Stegostoma tigrinum: one gene and its partner. The protein of the gene in region 1 purifies or fractionates together with the protein of each later gene. This does not show direct contact. Links are inferred from orthologs where the notes say so. Each region holds a gene or a part of one and is shown in the gene's direction. Other genes may lie near its edges. The genes, in order: katanin p60 ATPase-containing subunit A1-like and katnbl1.

Region 1 (10,450 bases):
AGTGTGAAAAAGGGAAGATGGAAGGGGTATTACAGGAGACGGGAACGGGATAAAAGAGAGAGGGGATGGTGGGTGGGGTTGGGAGGGACTGGGTTCAGGTCAAATAGGATAGAAGGGTGGGCAGGAGGGATGGATGGGCGACGGGGGGGAAGAATGAGTAGTAGGAGACAGGGTGGAACAGGCGAGAGAGGGGACATGATGGAATGGGTGGGAGCAATGAGCAGGAGGCGGATGGGCTAGACCTGTCAGGCGGTGAGATGGGCTGGAAGTGGGGGGAGCGAGCTGTAATGGGTAGGAGTGGATGGGTGGGGACAGGCTGGAGGAAATGGAATGGAGTGGACGACATGGAGTAGGTGGGGGGTATTCAGGATATAACGAGTGGGCAGGGGGCAGGTGGAAGGGGACGGGATGGAATGGAATGGGTCGGGTTGGAGAGGAAGCTGTAAAAGGCAAGGACTGGTGAGGTAAGACAGGGTGTGAGGATCAAGTAAGAATGGGAGCGGATGGTACGAGGTGAGGAAGGGTCGGTGACCAAGATGTGAAGGAGGGCTTTGCTGTTACTGACCATGGACTAAGAAAATTTAAATCTGTGAAATCTTAATTATTCTCCACAGTTCAAGTGAACATTCCATAAATACGTGGCACACTCACCACGGTTCACAAATCCATTTGGGCTTTACTAAAATTATAAGCAGTTCACCTCCAAATACAGCAATATTGAATATCAAAAAAGAGTAGAGAGGACCGGATAGTACAGCACATTAGCATTTGACTTTATTCATGGGATGTGGGCATTACTGGGTGGATCAGCAATTATTGTCCAACTTGGTTATATTATCCAGATTTGGGCTGACAAATGGCAAACAACATTTGTCAGAAATCACATGACACCAGGTTACAGTCCAACAGGTTTATTTGAAATTATAACCTTTCAGAGCACAGCCCCTTTGTTAGGTGCAGGGACAGAGAAGAGCACACAGACACAGTTTTAATTTTTTGTGATTATCTCTCTGCCTCATTTAATTGGATCACAGGTCATCTCTTCACTGGTTATTCACCTGTTGACACTTCACTCATAACACTCTTAGCCACCGAGAAAGAATTATCCGACACTCCACGCAATGTGTTTGTGTGCTCTTCTCTGTCACTGCACCTGACAAAGGGGCTATGCCCTGAAAACAGTGTATACCCTAGCACAACAACAGCATCTCCGCATCAAAACAACACTTGCACCACACACGTCCCTTGCAATAACCATTTCCAATTACAGAGAGAGAATCTAACCATTCCCAGCATTATAATTGCTGAACCCCCAAATATCAACACCTCTGGGGAATTACCATTGACCAGACACTGAACTGAACTAGCTATACAAATGCTGTGGCTGCAAAGGAGGTCAGAGGCTCAGAATTCTGCAGCAAGTTACACACCTCCTGATTCCTCAAAGCACAAGTCAAAAGTGTGATGGTTTACTACCCTCTCACCTGGATAAGTGTACCTCCAACCATGCTCAAAAAGGTTAACACAATCCAGGACAAAGCAGCCTACTTCATTGGCACCATATCCACAAATATTCACTCCCTTCACCATTGATGCTCAATAGCAGCATCTACAATATACGCTGCAGAACTTCACAGCACCTTCCAAACCAACAATCATTACCATCTAATAGGATATGGACAATATACCTGGGAACACCACCAGCTGTAATAAGAGATAACACGGTGTAGAGCTGGATGAACACAGCAGGCCAAGCAGCAAAGGAGCAGGAAGGCTGACATTTCAGGCCTAGACCCTTCTTCAGAAATTCAGCCTTCCTGCTCCTATGATGCTGCTTGACCTGCTGTGTTCATCCAGCTTTACACCTTATCTCAGACTCTCCAGCATCTGCAGTTCCTACCATCTCTCACCACCAGTTGTAAGTTCCCCTCCAAGCTACTGACTTGGGTGCCATTGGTCCTCGAGTGATGCTGGGTCAAAATCCTGGAACACTCTTTCTCATGGGACTACTGACACAATACGGACTACAGTGATTCAAGAAAACAGCTCATTTTCTGAAGGGTGACGAGATCCTTGGATTTTTAAAAAAAGCTAACATGCAAAACAGTCTAGTTCTGTGTTGTTAATAATAAATAACACACATTACAAAATACCAGATCAAACAATTTATGAAGAACATTTCTGGGAAAATTTACAAGGTTTAAAGATTGTAAAAGCTAATAGAAACTCACCTGAACATTGTGGATGAGGCAGTAATTATAATACTTGATCTTACAAAGCTTCAGAAAATTCAAGCAGGCTACAAACAAAAAAAATTAAGCTCAAAATTATTTCACAACAAATAGGATATCATTAGGAAATTATTGATATTTCAGAAATTTTGATCTATTAATTGTGAACAATCTTTCACCAACATAACTGTTCTTTGGTTTCTTCACATTCCTCAACCTCCCTCCTTGTTTCAAATGCCTTCTTGCTTTTTCAGAACTCCGTTTTCTTGCTAGGTATTGACGTTTTTTAAATCGTCTCCCCGCCACTGAGGCAAATTCTACACATGTGAAACACTACACAAATCTCAAAAGTTCTACTTTTAAACTGCATCAAGCTTCAAAGAAATAAAGTGCCTTAATTTCCGCTTTAACGTGCTTTACCAGTGTGAAATGTTTTGGGACAGTTTCATCTTTACATCGCCAGTGCATTGTTAAAACAAAACTATAATTCTGGGTCTCTTGCGCCTGGGAGTCAGGAAATTGCGCGTCCAAGGTAGCAAACAGGAGGCTGGACGAACAGAGCAAGAAAGGCAGCATCTAGAGGAAAGGAGCAGTCAACATTTCGGTTACTATCCCTCTTCAGGACGGATAGTTCAAGTCTCACTCATCCAAACTAATACTGCAACACGGTACTTGTCTCAAATCGAGTCCCTCACTACCCTTCAGGTGAATGCAAAAGTGGCCACTGTTTTGAATAGGGGTGTTCTCCTCTGTAGCAAAATATTTGTCAGTTAATATCACTAAAATTATCTGGTCATTACCATACCGATACTTGTAGGAGTTTTTGCTTAAAATAGAACAGTGACTACAGTTAAGTACTGAATCCACGGTGCAATGTTTTGAGATGTCTTCAGATGTTGGATAATACTGCTGAAAATATGTAAAGCTAGGCCGCTGAGGCTTCTCCATCTCCCGTTACAGAACTTTTTTTTGTTCAAAAAATGTGAACAAGCCTAACCATAGAATGGAATGTGTACTGAGAACTGCCTCTTCGAATTACCACTAACCCCTCGGCCTCTCCTCCGTATATAAATCGATCACCAAATCTCCCAGAGTCGTTTCGAGCAGCACCGCCATTTTGTCTTAACAACGTCGCGAAATGGCTGCCAGGTGAATCGCGTCACCTGACGCGGCTCAGAGCTATATACCACAGCCGGAGAAAGCGGCACAATACTTTGCGCCTGCGCTGCCGTCACCCGGGTCCATGTCCTATGCGCCTGCGCTGCCGTCACCAGGTCCATTCCTCCCCATCGTTATCCGTGTCACCTACAGGAGTTTCTAGGCGGCGGTTACTTATCGTGTTGATCGGTATACCGGTTTCGTACGTCTGTACTTGGATGCAACAGGTACTTCAGCATAGTTTAATTGGGTCAAGGTTACAACCGCTATATTCCATTACCCTGTTATAAAATAAACAAATGCTGTGATACCTGAACCCGGAAAAGTTAGGCATGCTGGACAACTTCGGTTCCACTTGCAATCCCCCCCCCCTTCCCCTCTAGTTCGTACTCTACATTTTATCTCGTTTGTAACACCACAGAGTTTTTGTTTTACTTAAATTTCTGCATGATACTTTTTTCAATGGAGGGTAAGTGACACCGTCCACTTCTGTATCAGTGCCGTGGCTGTGTTTCAGTATTTGCTCCAAACAGGCCGGGATGATTGACCCCATTCCGAACTGTTGCTTAAAAACAACACAAAACCCAAGAACTGCGGTTGTTAGAAATCAGAAACAAAACCAGAAACTATTGGGGAAAAACTCGACAGGTGTAGCAGCATATGTCGAGCGGAAGCAGAGTTAACATTTCGGGTGCAACGACCCCTCCAGAATGTCCTCTTGTTTGTTTCTCACTGACTCAGTCCTTGCTGCCTTCCTGGTACATGAGACAAAAAAATACTAAAACACTTAACGGGTCAGACAATATCATGAGCCAACATAAACGAGAGTTAACCTTTCGGTTCGCTGACCTTTCATCAAAGTTGTGTAGTTTAATACAAGTAGCAAAACAGCAAACGTGTGTGGCTGCCGCCATGAGGAAAACGTTGAAACGAGGAAATGAAGCAAAAAAAATCTCCCCGAACTGAGCGAGAGAATATTCGTGGCTTTGAGTAGTGACTTCACGTATCAAATGCTGAATGTGTTACATGGGACTGAAAGTCGGTGAATTACCCTGGCCCTATGAACCACGTCTCCAAGTTTTGAAAGTGGTGGCTGAAGAGATGATGGAGTTATTACTGGTTTTCCAAAATTCAATAGATTCTGCAGTTTGGAAGATAGCAAATGTAATCTTGCTATTTAAATTAGATGGAGAGAAAACAAAAAACCACAGACTTGTTAACCTGACATCAGTGAGAGAGAGGGATGGGGTAGAGTGAACGAAAGGATGAAGGATGGAGCCCAGAGAGAGAACAGCATTTGGATAGACAAAGGAGTTGATAACGATTAGGTGAATAGCAGTTAATAGGAACTATTAGTGATGAACAATAGGTGGTGTCTGATGGCAAGCTATGTGATAACGAGGACTGGTGTGTGGGGTTGGGATCTAGGACATGGGAGATTCGGGCCCTAAAATTATCAAATTCTATTGAGTCTGGAGAGCTGCAGAGTCCACAAGCGAAAAATGAGTTGTCCTTCTAGCTTGTGCTGAGCTTCACTGGAACACTAGAGCAAGCTTGAGACATGTTGGCCAGGGAACAGGGTAGTGTGTTAACGTTGCAGGCAACTGGAAGCTCAGGGTCTTTTTGCAAGCAGAGCGTAGATGTCCTGTGACGCGGTCACCCAGTCTACCGTTTGTTTCCCCAATGTAGAGGAGACCACATTGTGAGCAGTGAATGCAGTTGACCAAATTCTGCAAAGTGCAGATCAAGTGTTACTTCACTTGGAAGGCATGTTTGGGCCCTTGGATACTGGTGAGGGAGGAGGTAAATGGGCCTGCCACATCTGTGCTGGCCAAACTATGCAAATCCAATTTACCTGCACTTGGTCCATATCCTACTGTACCCTAATGTTTCAAGTACTCATCCAGATGCTTCTAAAGTGTTGCAAGAGTCAGGCAGCATGTTTTGTATATCTACCACCCACTGGCTGAAAACATTTTGTCATATCTCCTCTAAACCACTTGCTCTCCACATTGAACTTGTGCCGTTTAGCCTTTGACACGTCTGCCATGGGGAAGAGATTCTCATTTTATATCTCTCAATATTTCTGAAGAAAGGTCTAGGCCTGAAACATCAGGCTTCCTGCTTCTCTGATGCTGCTTGGCCTGCTGTGTTAAACCAGCTTCACACCAGGTTATCTCAGATTCTCCAGCATTGGCAGTTCCTACTATTGCTGGAAAAGCTCTGGCAGGAGAAGCTCTGGTGGAGGAGAAAACAGTTAACATTTCAGGTTAATGTCTCCTCCACAGATGCTGCCAGATGTGCTGAGCTTTTCCAGCAACTTTGTTTTTGTTCCTGGTTTTTAAATATCTTGGATGGATTAAAATTGCGAATTCTTCACGTAAATGATAATACCTTATCATTTACCTTGTAAAGGTTTTATGATGTTTTTAAGAAAACGTACAGTACTGTATTTACTATGGTCATCAGCAACATTGATATATCTGCATCTCACTGCAGTTTTGTGTATCCTTGGCCTTATGTTTGACAATGACTCTCGTATCATTCCACACAAATCTGACTTAGATCTTTTAGGGAAATTGATGCTCTGGTTAAATTTCTATTTTAGTTCTTCTTGTTTAAGTATATAATATTTAAAGGATTTTTTTTGTTTGTTTAAGAATACTCTGAAACAAAGCTGATTTCACCTGGCAGCTTCAGTCTACCTGCTGACTTTGTGCCATTCTCAATGCTTCTCCAAGCCTACTGCCCTGTCGGGTGAAACAGCTATTCGGCTCAGCCCTGTAAATATAGTGAGTGCACTCTGTTGCTGCCTCTTCGCTCACGCCAAGTCCTTCTTCAGCCATTGCTCATTCATTTACTCTTGATTATCCTGCACTAGACAGTTACCCATCTGGAATGTTGGCCATGACGAGAAAACTGTTGTCACTTTTTTACGGATCTTAGTTTAAAAATCACTGTGTAATATTGTGACAAAAGTGTGATTCACTGATATACTGATTTTCTTTACCACCTTAGCTTTCTGGTAGCAAATACCAATCAGCAAAACAAGAGCTGAAGCCACGTTTTGGGACCTTGTACATGTATTCTGGGCCAGGGTCTGACACCAGTCAACAAAGATCTGAGTACACTATTCCATTTTCCAACTCTTGACCCATAGCCCTAAAGCTCATAAATATTCAATTTTTAGCTTCCATTTTCAGTTGAATTACACTGATGGAAAAATCTTATTTGAAAACAAAATCGAGTCAAGAAAAATGGGAGCTGTGATTTTATTGTGGGGGTAAAAGGCTAATCATAAATTGATTGTCATGTGCACCAAAATACAATGAAAAGCTTTGTTTACGAGCAGGACAGGCAGATCACAGCTAGCTCAGGATGTACAGATCAAGAAGTCCGAGGCGTACAGATCAAGAAGACCGAGGCATACAGATTATATTGCAGGTTACATCATCTGAGGCTAGAGTTCATTCAGCAGTCTGATAATGGCTGAAAAGAAGCTGATCCTGAACCTGCTCATGCATGTGTTCAGGCTTCTGTATCTTGTGCCTGATGGAACAGGTTGTAGAGGTCATTACCAGGGTACGATGAGTCTTTTATGATGGCTGCCTTTCAGCTGCAGTGAACCATATTAATAGAGCCCATGGATGGAAGGCTAGCTTCTGAGATGGCATGGGCTATGCACGCCACCTTCTGTAGTTTCTTAGTGCTGGGCAGAGCAGTTGCTATATCAGGCTGTTATGTACCTGGATAGTATGCTTTCTGTGGTGCATCTGTAGAAGTTGATGAAGGACATGCCAAATTTCCTGAGCCACCTGAGAAAGAAGACGCGCTGTGTCTTCTTGACTGTTGTGTTTACGTGGGAAGTCCAGGGCAGGTTGTCAATTATCATCACTCTGAGGAACTTGATGCTCTTCACTATCTCAACCTCAATTCCATTTATGTAGGTGGAGACGTGTTCTCCTTTCTTTCTGAAGTTGATGATCAGTTCCTTAGCTTTGCCAGTGTTGAGAGACAGGTTGTTTTCATTGCACCACATCACCAAGCTTTCTACCTCCCTTCTGTATTTTGACTCGTTATTAAATATCTGTCAGCAAACTTTGTTGATGGCATTTGTTTGGAGTTTGGCAATGCAGTCGTAGGTGTACAGGGAGTTCAGTAGGGGTCTGAGGGCAGTCTTTACGGGGTCTCCAGTTTTGTGTTATTGTGGAGAAGGTGCAGTTACCTATCCTCACTATGGGTCAGAAAGCTGAGGACCCAGTTGCGGAGGACAGAGCCAAGATTAAGGCCACACAGTTTTGAGATCCATTGCAAACGAATAATGGTGTTGAAGGCAGAGCTGCAGTCAACAAGCAGGAGTCTGATGTAGGTGTCTTTGTTGTCCAGATGTTCCAGGGTGAGTGCAGGGCTAGGGATATGGCATTGTCAGTTGGCAAATTGTAGAGGATTGAGGCAGGTTGGAAGACTGGAATTGATGTGGGCCATGACCATATTGTATTTCATGATTTAAAATGGTTTCAGATTACTATTTTAATGAAAAATTATTATGCTATTAATAAAGCTGTTCAGTTGTATAGCTGCACTATGATTACAGGTATTGTATGTGGTTCAACAAACCAGTTGTATGGTTGTGACCATTGTGTTTCTTATACAGCTGAGATGCTAACTTAATCTGAATGTGCTTTCAAAATTGATTTTATAATGTAAAGAAAGTGTCAAAAGAATTATCTTAATTATACAGATCTTAAATTTTAAAGCTGACTACTGACAAAATTGTTTTAGGCATATTTTAACAACGCAATAATTCAGAAATAAGACTGTTTTCATTTTGTATTTTTTCTAATAATGTATGAACTGACTTTTATTATGTAATGTATCGATTAAGCAATGTACCAGAGAGTTGTCAATCTGGCAAATGTTTGCCAGAAATGTCATACAGAAGATTAAGATGCATGCGATCCATGGTGACTTGGCCATTTGGATTCATAATTACCATACAAGGCACAGGAAGGGTGTTTTTATGGCTGGAAGTCCATGACTGGTGGTCCGTAGGGATCTGTGCTAGGACCTCTACAGTTTCTGACATATATAAATGACTTGGATAAAAATGTAGATGGGTGGGTTAGTAAGTTTGCAGATGACACAAAGATCACTAGAATTGTGGATAGTGGAAAATGTTGTCAAAAGATACAGGAGAATACAGGTCAGTTGCAGACATGGTGGAGAAATGGCATATGGAATTTAATCCAGGTAAGCATGGGGTGTTGCACTTTGGGAGTCAAGTGTTAGGGAAAAGAAACAGTTAATGGCAGGTCCCTGAACAGCATTGTACAGAAGGATCTTGGGTGACAAGCCAATAGCTCCTGAGAAATGGCCACACAAATAGGGAGCATGAGAAAGAAGGCGTATGGCATGCTTTTTGTTGGTTACGGAATTGATTACAAGAGTCAGATGTTATGTTGCAGCTTTGTAAGACTTTGGTTAGCCGCACTTAAGAGTCTTAGGCTCAGTTTTGGAAGGAAGGATGTGGAGGCTTTGGAGAGGGTGCAGAAGAAGTTTGCCAAGCCGCTGCCTGGATTAGAGTGTATGAGCTATAAGGAGAGGCTGGAGAAACCCTGGTTGTTTTCTCTGGAGTGGCTCAAGCTGAGGGGAGACTTGGTGGAAGTCCATAAAATTAAGAAACGCATAGATAGGGTTGACGGTCCCCAGAGTTGAAATGTCTAAAGCTAGGGACATGCACTTAAGGTGAGAGGGTGGGGTGTGTGAGTTCTCAGGTGATGTGAGGGGCACTATTTTTTAACGTAGTTAAGTGGTAGGAGTTTGGAACATGCTGCCAGGAGGAGTAATGGAGACAGTTATGATAGGGGCATTGAAGGGACTTTCAGATATGCAAGGAATGGAGGGATATGGACCAAGGCCTGGCAGAAGGAATTAGTTTAATTTTGGCATCAGATTCGGCACAACATCATGGGCTGAAGGGCCCATTCCTGTGCTGTACTGTTCTATGTTCCAAGAACAACCAGGCCCAGATATAGCCACAACAGAGAGCTGAATAACCAATTTATCTCTCTGTTTGGTGTTCATTGAGGGAAGAATGTTAGCCAGATAATAGAGTGCTGCCTTAGGATCATTACTCAACTTGGCTTAGCTGGTAGAAACCTTAGTTCAAGGGCTGCAACCTCTCCTCCACAGTAGTTGAAAATACCCTCGACCACATCGCTCATGTTTCCCACAACTCATCCCTCACACCCTGTCCCTGCAATAAGAACCAAAATAGAATCCCCCTCATCCTCACGTACCATCCCATCATCCTCTGGCACTTCCGCCACCTGCCATCTGACCCCACTACCAAAGACATTTTCCCTCCCCACCTTTATCTGCGTTCCAGAGGGACCACTCTCTTCATGACTCTCTTGTCTGCTCCCCATCAGCCCCAGCACTTTTCCCTGCAACCGCAGGAAGTGCTACACCTCCCCTGCCCCCATTCCATGCCCCAAGAAGACCTTGCACATCAAACAGATGTTCACCTGCACATCTGCTGATGTGGTATATTGTATCCAATGTTCCCGATGTGGCCTCTTCGACATCGGGGAAACCAAGCAGAGGCTTGGAGACCGCTTTGTGGAACTCTTGCTCGGTTCGTGACAAACGACTGCACCTCCCAGTCGCAAACCACTTCAACTCCCCCTCCCACTCCTTGGATGACATGTCCATCCTGGGCCACCTCCAGTGCCACAACAATGCCACCCAAAGGTTGCACGAACAGCACCTCATATTTCACTTGGGAACCCTACAGCCCAATAGTTCAATGTGGACTTCACAAGCTTCAAAATCTCCCCTCCACTGACCGCATCCCAGAATCAGCCCAGCTCATCCCTGCCTCCCTCACCTGTCCGTTCTTTCTCCCACCTATCCACTCCTCCCTCCTCAAACCCCACCCCCACCCCCACCTCCTACCTACTAGCCCCATCCTGCCTCCTTAACCTGTCTGTCCTCCCTGGATCTAACTCCCAACCTACACTTGCCTTGACTGGTTCCATCCCCACCTCCTTGACCTGTCT
Region 2 (10,450 bases), on another chromosome or scaffold:
ACTAATATTTGCAGCCACCCTCGATTTACGGTGCTCCAACCTACCACCCGCAAACTGAAGGGTGTCTCTCCTGGGCTTGACAGACAACCACCCCATTGTAACACAACAGCCTTCCTGCACATGTAAGCAGATATTTCCCAAATCAAACTGTTCATCAATGCTAGTACACACTTCTGAAGCAGATGTGTTTTGGAACAGAGGTAGGATAGTACTACATCTGTGAAGACAAAAAACCGAGTTAATGCATCAAGTCCAATACCTATTTGTCTTATTGCCTTCAACTACTAGTACTTAACACTCATCAACAGAACTGGGTTCTTGTGGTGCAGTGGTAATGTTCTTGCCTTTGGGCTAGGAGATTGTGGTTCAAGTTCCCACCTGCTCAGGAGGTGGTGTCAAAACATGTCTGGACAGGTTGATTCAAAATTATTACCATCAACAGAACTTATCAGTTACTAACAATAAGCACCAAAAGAAATTGTGACTCATCCAGTACTGAGTGTTGGGCAAGTGATCTGACAGCACAACGGTAGTAAAGAGCTATCACTGATTTACAGTAATCTTTCTTTCAACCAGCACTCTTGATAAACTGGCAAGAAATATATACCTCAAATACCGCGATCTATTGCAAAGTCTGAGAATTTAGGCCGGGAAAAAAAAATTATGTTTCGAATACTTACTATGTGTTTTTACATTGAATTGAGCAGGGGTGTTGATGTTTTTACATAGATTCTTTGAGGTACATTGATGTCCTGAAACTTCGCTTGGTCAAGATTTACTGCAGTGATGTGTCCCTCTTGATTATCCAGAATATTTGATCAATGGCCACAGTCCTCATCCTACATGTGCCAGTTAAATAAAGTTTGCTGAACTTGTTAAAGTTGGCCCTTAGTCACTGGATCATATCTCCAAGACATCCCATATAGATGAGGATGGAGGGCATATAACTTTGGAAGGAAACCAGAGACAACATTGCTGGGTGGGAAGAAAAGCCATTGATGGAGGTGCAGTCAAATAAGTGGAACCCGAGCAAATTTTCAGATTATCATGATTTGTTGTATTGTCTTAATACCTTGGTGACTGAATGATATGACCTTCATATGAATGAGCTGTAAGAATAGTTAAAGTATGACTTTGAGAAACCATAGCAGACAGCAGCCTAAACATCTTCAGCAGCAGCAGCATCTATTTGCCGTATGTTCAATCAGGCCTCCTTCTATCTTGCCCTTCCTTCAGAACATCACAATAAGTCATCCTATTGATCTGCCATAGATAATGAAATGTGACGCTGGATGAACACAGCAGGCCCAGCAGCATCTCAGGAGCACAAAAGCTGACGTTTCGGGCCTAGACCCTTCATCAGAGATCTGCCAGTCAGGCCATACCTGAGAAAATGTTGGAGAATCTCAGCCTGTCCAGCACAACTGAGTTAATTCATCAAGTCCAATATGACTTCCTCAAAACAGAACTTCTGAGTTTCTCCAGCATTTTCACATTTTATTCCAGTAAGCAAATGTTGTGCTTTCAGTCGTGCAACATAGGAATTATTTTCTGAAGAATAAACATGTTAGTTTCATAACCATGGGAGTTTAGAAGAATGAGAATGCAAGTCATAAAACCATGAGATGACCGGATAAGGTAGATACTGGGAGGGAGTTTTGTCAAGGAGACAAAAATAAGGGAGAACAGTTTAAGAGAGAAGCTTAAAACAGAGATGAGAAGATATCTTTTCTCTTAGAGGCTTGTTGGAGTATGGAATGTGTCACCCCAAAAACTGAGTTCTCAAATGTATTCAAAGTTGAGTTTAATAGAATTTTGATCAGCAGGAGAGTCAAGATTATACAGGACAGACAGCAAAGTGGAGCTGACACCAAAAACAAAGCAGTTGTAATTTATTGAATGGCAAAAAAGTTTGAGGAGCCAAATGGTCCTCTTCCATTCCTGGGCCCTATGTCCGTACAGCTTCTATTCTTCACTGTGTAAACTAATGAAGGGAATCAGTCCATGGCTAAAGCCTGTGAGATGTGGAACGACTGAGAACTTTCTGGAAAGCTCACCTCAGATGCTGGACGTCAATCTGTTGCACTTGCTCTGGGGGTCGGGAATAACGTGACCTGACTTTTCAGCAGTGGGATGATTTGAATGATTTGCATTTGAGAAATTTTCAGACCCACGTGAACATTGACCTTTCTGTCATGCTCTTCACCCCAGTGTCTTGGATGTCTTCAAGCCACTTCCGGCCTCACATGATAGGATTGGTACTGACGGAGAAAGACAGATGAAGGGTGTACCTTTAAGGGATCACTTACAGTGGGTAGAAACAAAAGTGTTTTTTTGATCCTGGAGAATTTCTAATCTTTGAAATTGTCTTTACCAGAGAGCAGTGGAGGCTGGGTCAATGATTATGTGCACGGCTGAGTTAGAGGTTTATTTTCAATTCATTCATGAGGGCATTGCTGGACAGACCAGCATTCATTGTTCATTCCTAATTGCTCACACAGCAGTTAAGAGTCAACTACATCGCTGCACGTCTGGAGTCACACGTAGGCCAGACAAGATAAGGATGGCAGTTTCCTTCCCTAAAGGGCATTAGTGAACCAGATGGGTTTTTCCCACAATCGATAATGGATTCAGGATCCTCATTAGACTCTTTAAATGAGATATTGAACTTGAATTCCACCATCTGCTGTGATGGAATTTGAGCCCGGGTCCCCAGATCACTACCTGGTTTTGATCCATGTGAGAGTCAGAGGTTATGGCCAAATTTCAAGAAAGTACAGGTAAGGCCACAGTCAGAGTAGACATGATTTTATTGATTGGTAGAGCAGATTTGATCAGCCAAATGGCTGAATCATGTTCCAGTTCCTTATGCTGTTGTAGCTTACTGTAGCAAGATTTCAATATCTTCTCGATCACATGCTTTTAAGTTACTGTCAACATTTAAAGGCATAGGGATGCTCAGACCTCTCTCTCCTGGGTTGCATGCATTGGTTGTCTCTGGTAAAGTTCATTCAGGTACAGGCAATTCCTGTGCATTTCTGAAATGGACTGCCTCTCTCACATTGGAGTGAAAAGGAAACAGAAAATTAGCTCCAGATTCTATCCTTAATGTAGTATTTTTTTAAAATTCATTCATGGGATGTGGAAATTGTTCTTTCGTCAACACTTAGTTCTAATCCCTGGTGGCCTTTGAAAAGGTGGTGGTGAGTTGCCTTCTTGAACTGTTGCTGTTTGGTTTGGGGGTTAGGCTGTCTCCTAGACTTCTGCAGGGTACTGCACCAGAAATGTGTAGCTGTGGAGTTTAGCCTCTGCACCAGGCCCTGTGGTCACTGGCATCACTATCAGCCAGGTCCAAGACAGACAACCCAGGTATGTGGCAGTGAAGTGCAAGATGCTGTATGTCTCACGTTTGGGGTCAGTTTGGGTAGGTTCAGAGGAGCTTGACAGCTACCAGAACTAGGACACGGCTCAGTGAATGATAAAGGGTACTTTTATCATCCTGATATTTGTTGGGAGTAGGGGATGGGGTAGTGTGGATAGTAGCACGGCGGCTGTATTGTGGAGCTCGGCCACAGTGGGAGGTAGGGTTGCCATATCCCCTGGGTTGAAGTCTCCAAGAATTAAAGCTTAACTTCCTGAACACTGCCAGGCAGTGGAAAACATTACTGTGGCTTTAAGAACTGATCTTTCCTCTCTTAACATTGGTATATTAACGATAGAAATATTGGGAAAGGGAAAAACAGGCCTGTACGTGTGGGATGGTTAGAGGACACTCCAGGAATGGGAAAGTTAGCAGTCCTGGTTAGAGGAACAGCCAGATGTTGATATTGCATTTGAGAAGGTGAGTGAACTGCTGATTCTCTGGGGGCCTGATGCTGCAGGAGTGAATCAGCTGAAATGGAAAGAGCTAAGGATTGGGAGCCGCAGAGAGCAACCAAGGCCCATAATCAATTCCTGGACAGCCAGTGAGAGGAACTTGAGGGAGAATCCAGAGGACAAGCATCGTCTGACCCGCAGTGAAATCTCCCTGAGACTGAACACAGCCTAGAGACCATTTGTGGATGATAGGGTAATCTGGCTGAAGTATTTGAAGGAAACTGAAAACAGTAGTGCAACAGCACATGTATTTGCAAGAATCTACAAATACAATGCAGATGTAATGTTGGTAAATGAGGGGTTATCACATGTGAGGTAGCAAAAACAGAAAATATTATTATCTGAATGGTGATAGATTTGGAAACAGGCTGGGGTGGGTGGGGGGGGGAAGCTGTGCAATGATACCTGGGTAAATACATCAGTTGCTGAAAGTACACATGCAGGTGCAGCAGGAAATGAAAAAGGCAAATGGTATGTTGGATTCACAGCAAAATAATTCAAGTTACAGGAGCAGGAACAGACATGAGTTGCTTCAATTGTGTAGGGTCTTGGTGAGATTACTCCTGGAGTATTGTGAGCAGTTGTGGTCTCCTTATCTGAAAAAGGATGCTCTGGCTATGGGATGCTACTGCAATAAAAGTTCACCAGGCAGATTCTTGGGATAATGCGTTTGACATTGAAGGAGGACGGCATCAGTTAACCCTATATTCACTGGCAATCAGAACAATCTGCCCCGGCGTTCTCAAGGCCCAGTTCTCTTTCACTCCAACACAGACCTGATTTGCCTTTATCCACCTTCCCCTGCATTCCTGAATACCCAGTTCCTCACCAGTGGATCAGACTCCCCTGCCTGGGGACCCAACAAACAGCCCTCAGAACAGACCTATTATTGACTTCCCACTGACCTTGTGTAACAACTACATCACTTGCTTGGCCCCTTTGCCACCTTGCTCCTTACCCCCTACTTACTTGGCATACTAAACATCTGGCACCCTACTTACTTGCCATCCTACCCCCCACCCCTTCCTATTTGACATTCCACATCACTTCGCAGCCTACTTCACCCACCTCTCTACTGCATCACGCACCAACAGCGTCCTACACCATACCCACTTGACACCTTAACTTCACACGGGAAGTACTTGATCTTTGACATCAGCTCTCAAAGTGACTGTGATTGTGGGCTTTTCAATGCCAAATTACATCTTACTGTTGTGAAATGTGGGCATGGAATTCCTTTTCCTGGGCGAGACAGCTACTCCTCAGTAAATTCCGCTCACACGTTTTCCAAGAGCTTGTCCCACAATTACACCACTTGTTTTGCTGACTGTTATCATTTAAACAGCAGGAACGCTCCTATCAGGAGTTGGGGTAGGCGTTGCATTGGCCTCGTGCATTCTTAACGCTCCGGCTGGGAGGACTCTGCCATCCCGGCATGCCGTGGGCCCGAGTTGGCACGGTCCTCCGGCTGGGATCACACAGCCGTCCCGGCATGCCGTGGGCCCAGTCCTCCGGTTGGGAGGTTTCAGCCGTCCCGGCATGCTGAGGGCCTGTTTTGAATGGCGAAGGTTCAGGGAAAGGGAGAGAAGACCGGTGCGGCCTGTTAGCGCCTGAAAGGGGAGAGGAGGGGCAAATTCTAATCGCTTGCACTCCCACTGAAATGTTGTAAAATGTCCTGGTAAGTGGCCCCCTTGCTGTCCGTGGTGGCAGGAGACTCGGCTCGGGGCCTCACACTTGGACAGTTTCTGCTGGTTGGGACTTTGGGGTGGGGTGGATTGACATTAATTTTAAAAAGAGGGCTGTGTTTCTCTGCAATTCAAAATTATTTGCTAAGAAGCTCTTAAACCAGTTCCAACTAACTGCCCGCGTACTCGTAATCAATGCAAGACAACTCGTCGTTAACAATTAAAACTCAAACCACGACCTTTTATGTGACTTTATGGTTAATTTTATAAATTCTGAAAACGCTTGTTTGGTTTCAAAAATTGGGGATGGGACTCTTCATCTCGTTTTTATCCTGAAAGACGCGACGGATCTTATTGGAAAATCTAGCTTCGTTTGGATCCATTTTGTTTGCCTGGCTAGGAGTGGCATGAAGGGAAATCTGTTTAAAAAGGGTAAAGTTGTCAAAACCGCATTTTGTGGAATTGGTTGGCAGGCAGATTTTTACTGTATGACAACTGGTGATTTATTTATAGCTGCTGCGAATGTTAACTTGCAAAGCTACCTTACTATTTGAACAAGCAAATCTGTTCAGTTTTTGAACCTGGCCTCGTTTTAAGTGTGAAGTTGTTACTTCCTCGGAATCCTGTTTTGTGGGATGCCTTGAGTTTTGAATGATGTGAATGGACAGCACTGAATGGTGAGACCTGCCGATAATGGTGGCTAAATAAACCTACTGTATCAATAGAATGTTCTGTACCATAAGACTATGAAGCAGATTCTATGATTTTTCATTCTTTTTTTTTCAAAACACTTGATAAAAGAGGATTAGGATTTCTAAAAACTTTTTATTTTACTTGGGACATTTGTGAATGTACCTGGTAGAAAATCACAGCATGGTTCAGATTGGTGATATTGTTGGAATTATAGCAAAAAATATTCATGCTGATCAAGACTGTCAAAAATATTGAATGGTCATTAATCCCATTGAAATGTTATACAGTTGTACAACAATATTTCATTTGTCTGCTTCAGAGTCTCATTGAGCTTTTTTGCATTAACATTTTATAGGAGAGAGTTATTTAAATTCTTCCTGTACCTGTGATTTCTAAACATCAGGAAGGCAACATCTCCAAACCACTTCATTTATGGCCAAGTAATATCAATAAACAAAGTGTTTGTGTAGATGTAAATTAATTATTACTTGTCACTAATAAGTGACATTGCATTAATGAACTTTAATACTTGAACTGCTGTCAGGTCTAGACAGTGAGTTTTAAGAGAGGGTTTCCTGATTTTTAATGTCTTCCACTGACTTGAGCACATCTTGAGCTACACTGACATCATTCGCAATAATGTGAAAAGAACACACAAAACCTAACCTTGTATGTAATACTATTTAAAATGATGTCTGAATCCTGAGTTCTTGTAACATCTTCCTAATGGTTAAAGAAATAAATTCATACCACATTGTAATTACTGTAATTGAAAATTGCAGATGTTCCAAGATGATTGCAATATTATTGATTTTAAATTCTCTTAATGTTTTTAAGAATCCTTTCTTAACCCCTGTTTTGTTTGAATCATTATGTTAACTTCAAGAGTAATTTAAAAACTGGGGAATGTACTAAGTGTACAATAAAGCAGGATTCAGAGCTTGGCTACATACTACTATGTGACAAATTTCCACTTTAAGATCTTTTTCAGTATGCTATTTTTTTGGTTTCTCTTTCCTGGTTTTGAGTGTTTCGCATCTGTTCAATTGTTTTACTAGATACAGTAGTTCTTAATGCAAATCAAAATACTGTCATTTCTGGTAATACTCTGGTCTCACAACAGACCAGTATCCGGGAGAAGTCATTACAAGCGATACACTATGACCCAGGAAGAAAAATGGAGAGGGAAAGAATGATGGAATGGGAGAAAACCAAAAAAAAAGTTTAAATTATACATTCCTAAATTCTTAAATATTTAGGACCTTAAGCAATGTGCCTTATTACTGACAGTAGTTAATTGTCAGTATCGGGGAGCGTTTACAGTTATAAATAACACTTAGTATGCTGTTGACCTATAATGGACTTGATAAAAGACAAATTTTACTACATCTGTAAAGGGTCTTGGTAAAACCACATCTCTGAATATATTTCATATATAGTAGGAACTGACGATGCTGGAGAATCTGAGATTCCTGCTCCTCTGATGCTGCTTGGCCTGCTGTGTTCATCCAGCTTCACACCAAGGTATATGAAATATATACAGTTAGGTCTGTTTATTCGGAAGATATACAATTATGTTAGAAGCAATTCAGAGGTCCACTTGACTCATTTCGCAGAAGAAAGATTGAATAGATTGGGCTGTACCCATTGGAGTCTAGATGATTCAGAGATGATCTTATTGACACGATACTGAGGGCAATTAATGAAGTGGATGCTGGGAGGATATTTCCTGATACGGGTGAAGCTAGTATTAGGGGGCCACAGTTTAAAACTAAGAGGACGCCCTTTTAAGTTCGGGGAAAATGTTTTTTCTGTTGGATGTGGAACACTCTTCTGGAGAAAGCAGTGGAGGCTTGCACTGAGGCTAGTCAAAGTGGGTTAAACAGATTTTAGATCAACAGTGCAATTGAGGATTATAGGAGCAGGCTGGAAAGTGGAGTTTAGGCCATAATCAGATCAGCGATGACCTTACTTAATAGTTGGGCATGTAGTTGCAGTACTGAAGCAGTGCAAGTTCAAATGCATTAATCAGGACAATATCCAGGCTTGGGCTGAAAAGTGGCAAGTAACTTTCATGCCATATAAATGCCAGGCAATAACCACCTAACCACCATCCCTTGAAGTTCAATCATTTTACCATTTACTGAATCCCCCACAGTCAATAAGCTTGGGGCTACCACTGACCAGAAACTCAACTGAACTGCCCACATAAACACAGTGGCTACAAGAGTAGGTCAGGATTGAGGCATACTGCAGCAAGTAACTGATCTCCTGACTCCCAAAGCCTGTCTACCATTTACACGGCACAAGTCAGGATGTGATGGAGAACTCCCACATGCGTGGATGAGTAGAACTCGAACAACATTCAAGAAATTTGATACCAAATGGAACACAGTGGCCAGCTTGATAGTTACCACATCCACTCCCTCCGTAACTAATGCATCTCTTAAATAGTACTGCTGCTCCTGAGCAGTACGGCAGGTTGCCAACGATCCTTGCCACCTTCTAAATCCACGACAGCTTCTGTCTGGAAGTACAAGGTCAGCAGATGGAGTTGTTGGTTTGGTGTCCCAAGCTGACTGGTTTTCATTCAGACATTTCATGTCACCCCCTTCTAGGTGACATCGTTGATGCTGTGTAGTCTCCTTTTTGAAGTTTTTTTTTCCCGGGTCCTTAATGATTGCTCAACATCCATCATTTCCTTGAATATAGGATCTCTTCCAGACTTGCTGGGACCAATTCCCAGGTGTTGACCTCCTTACTAGCCAAAGTCTGCCATCTGTTTAAACAAAATGCTGTTCGCAGGGCAGCTGTGCCTCTTCAAACCCATTGAATCAAGAATCAGCCTACAGTTAACCTCCAAGTCTGCCATCCCAAATAAGCAAAAAAGTTTGTTTAGTCTGTTCGTTTCCTTTTACCAGGCTGTTTCCCAAAGTCCACTCGTCATTAGTTCCAATCAAAGTTAGTAAAGTAATAGCAGTAAAAATAATGAAAAAGCAGAAAGGTTCCAATGTTGCAAAATTCTGGAACTACATTTAATTCCAATGTTCAGTCTAAAGTTGAACAACAACTTGTGCACGATCTGCATGAGAGCATTCGAACTTTTGAGTTGCTGCATGGCCACAGCGGGGATGAAGGTTTTAAAGCGGCTGCATACTTGATCAAATCACTTGAGTAATCTTTTGAAAAAACAAAGAGGCTCCGTTGTTTGGCATGCCTAAATTAGCTTTAGGCAAATTTTTTTAAGGTAATTGTTCATAAACTTTTTTTTTGTTTTTGTTAACCTATTTTTCTAATCAACCTGTTCAGAGATGTTATTATACACCTCTGCTGCAGGTGGGATTTGTGGTTCGGAGATAGGGGCACCCAGTTGCATGGCAAGATTCATCCAGTGTTAAACTTACCTAATATGGTACCTTTTGAATATATTGTCAAGTATAGCAGACTGTTAAATTTATTGTCCTGTGATGCCACTGAGTAACAACTAAAATAAATGATGCAACATTGCAAGCAGAATTACTGTGCAAAATATGATAAGCTGTTGATGCATTTCTATAGGCCTTCATTTGTGGCTTATATGTATCAATAGTTCCTGAAATAACACCTGATAGTTTTGAAGGAAGCACTGTATGTTAATTAAAAAGGAAGTCTCAGGTGACACTGTTTAATTTGAGTTTAATTGGAGAGGAACTGCATATTCAAGAATAGTGATTGAGTATGTTTTTGATTTTAAAATCATAGATTTATATTATTTAAAAATCAAGGAAATCCAGATGCTGGAAATGTAAAACAAGTGTTGCAGAAACTCTGGCACCATCTGTGCAGAGAAAACAGAAATAAAGCGTTGAGTCCAGTGACACTTCGTCAGACCTGAAAATAGCTGGGATGTGGTGGAGGTTAAATAGAGCACCTGAAGATGAAACTGAGAAAGAGTGAAAAGGGATAGTCAAACAAAGAGATTACTCTTGGCCAACCAAGAGAAATTCTGGGTCAGGTGCTGATGAGACATGTAAATGGTTGAAACTGGCTGTACTGGGAGCAGCCCACACAGAACAGGATTTAAGGGTGTGAGGACAGGTCGTGAACATGGGTGGGTGGTTCTGAAATGTTGACATGGGAATATAGTGCTATATTGAAGTGGAAGGTGACCAGAAAGTCAGTCATTTTTACCACCAAAGTGATCACCCACTCTCCAT

The links.
Region 2: the proteins of katanin p60 ATPase-containing subunit A1-like (region 1) and katnbl1 purify together in Homo sapiens (affinity purification with mass spectrometry; 3 studies listed by BioGRID and IntAct, counting the BioPlex papers as one, with this or other methods). This does not show direct contact. The link is inferred for Stegostoma tigrinum from reciprocal best matches to the Homo sapiens genes KATNA1 and KATNBL1.

What each region holds. Positions count from the first base shown.
Region 1 is NC_081357.1:93,797,095-93,807,544, forward strand, and holds the start of katanin p60 ATPase-containing subunit A1-like, read left to right. Parts: upstream 1-3,491; 5' UTR 3,492-3,607; coding exon 3,608-3,616; intron 3,617-10,450. Other genes in the region: ppil4 (peptidyl-prolyl cis-trans isomerase-like 4), read right to left, coding at 2,232-2,299, 3,278-3,347. UniProt on the Homo sapiens protein: Catalytic subunit of a complex which severs microtubules in an ATP-dependent manner. Microtubule severing may promote rapid reorganization of cellular microtubule arrays and the release of microtubules from the centrosome following nucleation.
Region 2 is NC_081363.1:67,766,163-67,776,612, reverse strand, and holds the start of katnbl1 (KATNB1-like protein 1), read left to right. Parts: upstream 1-5,315; 5' UTR 5,316-5,554; intron 5,555-10,450.